Neurospora crassa OR74A: one gene and its partner. Each later gene encodes a partner of the first gene's protein in a complex. Links are inferred from orthologs where the notes say so. Each region holds a gene or a part of one and is shown in the gene's direction. Other genes may lie near its edges. The genes, in order: NCU10029 and trx.

Evidence for each region.
Region 2: the proteins of NCU10029 (region 1) and trx are in contact, whole or in part, in a crystal structure (PDB 3PIN), measured with the Saccharomyces cerevisiae proteins. The link is inferred for Neurospora crassa OR74A from reciprocal best matches to the Saccharomyces cerevisiae genes MXR1 and TRX2. Residues at the interface, in NP_010960.1 of Saccharomyces cerevisiae: Trp27, Gly28, His31, Gly173, Tyr174, Ala175, Cys176, Pro177, Thr178, His179; in NP_011725.3 of Saccharomyces cerevisiae: Trp30, Cys31, Gly32, Pro33, Asp59, Val70, Ser71, Ser72, Met73, Pro74, Gly90, Ala91, Asn92.

Annotation. Positions count from the first base shown.
Region 1 is NC_026501.1:9,765,246-9,768,130, reverse strand, and holds NCU10029 (peptide methionine sulfoxide reductase msrA), read left to right. Parts: upstream 1-1,098; 5' UTR 1,099-1,269; coding exon 1,270-1,531; intron 1,532-1,637; coding exon 1,638-1,987; 3' UTR 1,988-2,312; downstream 2,313-2,885. Other genes in the region: NCU10028 (bax Inhibitor family protein), read right to left, coding at 2,443-2,885. UniProt on the Saccharomyces cerevisiae protein: Has an important function as a repair enzyme for proteins that have been inactivated by oxidation. Catalyzes the reversible oxidation-reduction of methionine sulfoxide in proteins to methionine.
Region 2 is NC_026503.1:672,112-674,976, forward strand, and holds trx (thioredoxin I), read left to right. Parts: upstream 1-1,120; 5' UTR 1,121-1,222; intron 1,223-1,294; 5' UTR 1,295-1,349; coding exon 1,350-1,733; 3' UTR 1,734-2,076; downstream 2,077-2,865. UniProt on the Saccharomyces cerevisiae protein: Participates as a hydrogen donor in redox reactions through the reversible oxidation of its active center dithiol to a disulfide, accompanied by the transfer of 2 electrons and 2 protons.

The DNA of each region.
Region 1 (2,885 bases):
CAATCCTTCTGAGACTGAAAACATTGAATTGCCCGCCCAGTTGACGGAGGGGGGAACTCAAGTTCACAGTAAATGACCAGCACCAGGTTAACTCTCAAGTCCAAGTCCAAGGATGGTGAGTATCTCTAGGTACATAGTAGATCTACAATTGGATGTGGAGGACGTACCGCAACTAGAATATGTTGTACGCGTATACGCTATACGCGTATTCTTGTTACCCATCAGGGCCCGTTCGTTTCACCAGTAAAGGCTCCCTGTAAATGATTTCAGTAATTGCGTGGATTTGGCGAGTTGTACGGGATATGCGTGAATGGTAGGTCTCATGATTCGCGATACCAGCCGGCGTTTCTTGAGGGCCAGAGGTGGCTGCGTAGATGTCCCGTAAAATCTCGCGATACTGGTTGGCATTTCCACGGAGGTCAAAGGAGGTGAAATAGGTAGTTTTCAGTACCTAGAGGTAAATTTGGGTAAATGGTGTTAGCTGATTGGCTCAATTTCGTAATGATGACCCCCCTACCTAACGACCCCAGGGCAGCAACGCCACAGGCTGCTGGAAACCCGGACACTGCCAGCCACTTGGGGGGGGAGCATGGAAAGATATGTGTGGCAGCAGTGCAGGCTTTTCCCTAGAGGTAGGTAGATGGTGAATTCGAGGTAGGTTTCTGGCTTGAGTAAGGGGAGGACGTAGGGGGCTGCATGACCAAGATGGGACGCTGGGCATCCCACAGCCTTCAATGATGCTGACACAGGAAACGGATGCAGGCGGCCCCGCTATAGAACCATTCTCAGCCTCAATGCGGGATGCCTTCCGTTGGGTAGAGGTATCCTGCTCGGCACCATACTGCGTAGCCGCCATCCAGATGTTCTGACACGGTACATACCTCTACAGCTTTCTGCAGCGTCTCTTCGGGCGGGTCGTGGTCTGGTCAGGTCGTCCGGGTCGTCCGGGTGGTCGGGTATCTTGTGTGTGCGGGTCGGCCTAGATCCGTCGTGGCGGGAGCCCAGGGCAGCTGGGGCTCGGTGCGGGCGGGCTGGATGTCGCTCCACTGCCCGTCGGTCGGGGACTTGTGGAGGCACCCTCTGCCGCGGTGAACCGACGTAACATGGCCAAAAAGAGCGCATTCAAAATTTGCAAACAACGCCATCTCCATTTCACCTTTCGTCATCCACCTTGGTCCACTTTCATATTACTCAGCCCTACGCAGCTTCATAAAGCCCCCGACCTCCATCCATCAGCTTCGCCAAGTCCCATTCCGAACAACGTAACGCATGTCTTCGCTCCTCGGTCGCATCTTCCGTTCCCTCAACACCCAGACCTCCAAAATGTCCACTACCGCCTTCCCTTCCAGCCCCGTCACCGTCCCTGAGGGCGCCGAGAAGGCCACCGTCGCCGCCGGCTGCTTCTGGGGCGTTGAGCACCTCTACCGCAAGCACTTTGCCGACAAGGGTCTTTACGATGCGCGTGTTGGCTACATTGGCGGAGACGCCTCCAACCCCTCCTACAAGCAGGTTTGCTCTGGCAACACTGGCCGTAAGTCTTTTACCTCTCTGGCGACGCCTTCTGCCGCCCCTTTTGGGGATGCGGTCCCCCTCGCTTCAAGCTTGTTCACTCGACTGTGTCGCTGACAAGACCAAAGACGCCGAAGCTACCCTCCTGATCTACGATCCCACCCGTCTCTCCTACACCCAAATTCTCGAGTTCTTCTACAAGATGCACGACCCCACGACGCACAACCAGCAGGGGCCCGATCGTGGCGCGCAGTATCGCAGCGGCATTTTCTATCACAACGATGAACAGAAGAAGGTTGCCGAGGAGATCACCAAGAAAGCCAACGAACAGTGGTGGGGTGGTAAGATCGTTACTGAGATCCTCCCCGCCAAGGAGTGGTGGGACGCCGAGCAGTACCACCAGCTGTACTTGGTGAACAACCCCGATGGGTACGAGTGCCCCAGTCACTTCTTGCGCAAGTTCCCTGAGCTCAAGTAGGCTCTTGGTGTTTGACCAACTGTGCCGCCCCGAGCGCGCACCAAACTGAGTCCTGGGCGTAGCAAGAGTGCGCCCAGCACAACCTGGGGATGACATTCGGGCAGGATCCGGACGAGACATGATGGGATGGTAATTCAACACAGCGGGATCCCGGACAACATACACGGCATGGGCGGATTTAACATACTAGCGACAACATTGCATCAGGCGGCGTTTGGGACGGCAGAAAGATGTTGGGTTTTGCCGTTTTTTTTTTCGGAGTTATCTTGGGATATCTATCTAAATTTACAAGTAGAATACAAACAACTGCCTGAACCGAATCGGACCAACAGCTCCTTCTTGCGTGACTCCGTCAACAACCGACACTGAGCAAAGTGCTGACAAAAACTTCAAAGGCAAACGATCTGGTATCTTGTTCAACGCTTTCTTGGTTCGACTCATCCTAGAAACACCGCTTACTTCCTGCGGTTCTGCTGCATCATGAGAATCTGCACCATGCGAACAAAGATGTTGAGGAAGTCAAGCTCAAGCGAGATGGACTCGTTGACGGGATCCTCCTTGATGACGCCAGCCTGGGCAAGACGAGCATGGTAGAGAACCCTCTGGACATCATAGAGGGTAAAGCCACCGAAGACAGCAAGACCACCATAGAGCCAGAGGTTCTCGGTGAAGGCAAGGGTGCGGACGGCAGTGGCGGGGAGAACCAGAGGAGCGAAGCCAGAAACGGCGACAATGGCAGCACCGGCGAGAAGAGGACCGCCAATGTAGAGGTACTTCTCCTGCTTAGCGGTGGCACCGACAAACGAGATGGCGCCCATCATGGCGATGGTGTAGAGACCGGCGCGAGCGAGGAGAGCGGGAGGGGCCATGGCGAGGAGGGGAGCGACAAAGGCGGCCT
Region 2 (2,865 bases), on another chromosome or scaffold:
CCAAATTGGCATTGCGTTTCGTCCTACCGGCAAAGTTTCTTGATCAGGCTTCAGTAGGCGGCAAGATAGGGCACTTGAGTACACCCGAGCTAGAATTCATGCTGGAAGGGAGGTCTAGGGGTATGGAGGGTATGGAGACGTTTATATAGCGGCCGACACATACTGCGTACTGCGTAGTAGAGGTAGTAAAGAATTGCTCACTCCAGACTGGCAAAGATCGACGGCAGGCATTTGCATCACATGTTGTGTGTGATCTGAGGCACATGGGCTCTTGGCATAAGTACGGTGGCCCAAGTCTGGGTTATGCTCAATTGAAAAGTTTTGGTTGCAAAAAAGTCCCTGGCAGTGGCAACCGCTAGACTCGCACCGAAGGGTACCATTCGAATGCACACTAATGCAACCCCGACATCCAACTCCAATTCCAACTCTAAGCAATGAAGCAATGAAGCAATGAAGCAATGAAGTAATGAGAGTCAATGGGAGTTAATGGGAGTCAATGGGAGTCAATAGAGCCAATGGGCGGGAGCTAAGGTTTTGAGTAGTAGTGCAAATAGACCCCTAGACCTTCTCCAAATTCCAAAAATTTGGGGTACCTTTAAGGTGATAATGCAAATGGATCCTTTCGCCTTCCACTTAGGAAAAAGAAAAAAAAAGAAAAAAGCGAAGAGAAAGAAAGAGAGAGAGGTTGAGGGGCAAAAGAAAAAACGGAAGAAAAGTAAGGGGGGGGAAGAGAGAAGAAGAAAAATATCAAAAGAATATAAAGATGGATGGTGGTTAGCGCTTACTTTGTTACATTGATAGGTGTGAAGGACGGGAAGTGGATAGAGGCGTTGATATAAAATAGCTTGCAGCTGAGGCCAAATGGAAGCTCGGACCAGTTTTCAATTGAGTATAACCCAAACTTGGGCCACCGTACATAAGTCGAGATCGCCAAAGAGACACAATCGCGGCTTGGGCGATGGAGCGGGCTGGATCAGGGAGCTTATCGGTTACCTATCTACATAGTAGGTACCTCTAGGTCCAGTACGCAGGTACGTTATCAGCCATGACCCACCCCCTTCTACTGTGTACCTCTACCTACCCCGCCAACGACAGACACGGCTCACCTCACGGTGACGGTCGCGTCCAGCGGTTATAGTGAATGGTTATGTAGTCCCCTAACAAAGTTGAAAGCCGACGCCTGCCAGCAACTCTCGCCGCAACTTGCGATTTCTTAGCCAAGGTGTGTACAACCCTTATCGCCGGAGCCATCTCCTACGGGCAGTTCAGGTTACTTAACCGTGAAAATTTGCAGCAATCTACTTCGCAATCGATTCTCCCTCGACCGAACACACACAAACATCATCGCAATGTCGGACGGCGTCAAGCACATCAACTCGGCCCAGGAGTTTGCGAACCTCCTCAACACAACCCAGTACGTCGTCGCTGACTTCTACGCCGACTGGTGCGGGCCTTGCAAGGCCATTGCGCCCATGTATGCCCAGTTTGCGAAGACCTTCTCCATCCCCAACTTCCTCGCCTTTGCCAAGATCAACGTCGATAGCGTCCAGCAGGTTGCTCAGCACTACCGTGTCTCCGCCATGCCCACCTTCCTCTTCTTCAAGAACGGCAAGCAGGTCGCCGTCAACGGTTCCGTCATGATCCAGGGCGCCGATGTCAACAGTCTGCGGGCCGCTGCCGAGAAGATGGGCCGTCTGGCAAAGGAGAAGGCCGCTGCCGCTGGCTCGTCGTGAGGTTCGGAAAGGAAAGAAAACAAACAAAAGAGATCAAAAGCATACAGAGCACCCTGTTGTGGATCAAGTGTACATACTACTACACTACAACATGGACATTTGCGTCTGACTATTTTCGGCGGGGGTTGGAGATCAGCTGTTGCTGAATGAACCGAATAGAAAACTGTCGGTTGTTCAGGTTATGATGTCATGGGATCTTCGGGCGACGGTCTGATAAGTACCCATGGGCATGATCACACCGTGACCGTGACCCTTGAGCCCCAATATCTGCCGGATACTTAACTATCATATACTATGTACACTACTGGATAGTACACACAGTGATCAATCACCTCCGCCCTTGACTCATTGACCCTATCAGTCGGCCATCCTACAAGACCTTTTGTTTTTCTTGGCGTTTCCCTATATCAGCATAACACTCCATCGTGACCCCCATCTGCCACACCACTATTCAACAGCACTATGTCAACCTCACGTAACGGCGAGAGACATGGCAAGCAAAAGTCTCGCGACACAACCCCAGAGAGCTATCTTGGGAGCTCACCAGACAGAGGCGACTCTAATGTTATCCAGCAATATCAGCCACAAAGGCTTCAACAACAGCAGCAATCGGTCCAAGGGACAACAAGAGGTAGTCGCAGTGGCGCTCTTGCCGTTAGGCTCGATATGGACTTGGATATCGACTTGCAACTGAGGGCAAAGATAAAGGGAGACATCACACTTTCTATGCTGTGAGTCTTAATCACGTTTATATAAGTTGATTTCACGGCTAACCGATCTATGAACGGCAGGGAAGGAGACCAGAAATGATTATCGACAATGACTCGGAAAGATGACCTCAAAATCAATATTTTAATTTGGTAGCCTGAACATGGTCATGTTTTCTAGTCTCAGTATGCTTCTTGCGTTCCAGTATCAACTGTTGTCATCACAGTCAACTATCAGGTGATGCCTCCATCACCAACGCATGTGGCACCGCAAGCCCGTGAGCAGGCAGCTACCCACCCTCCCCGTTCATCCCACCACTCCTGACACGCGGCCTCTTTGTCGGAGACCAATCTGTTTCTTACAAGATGTATGTGCAGACTGGTTTGCGACCGCATTTGCTCTTCTTGCGAGTTTTCGCTGCTTT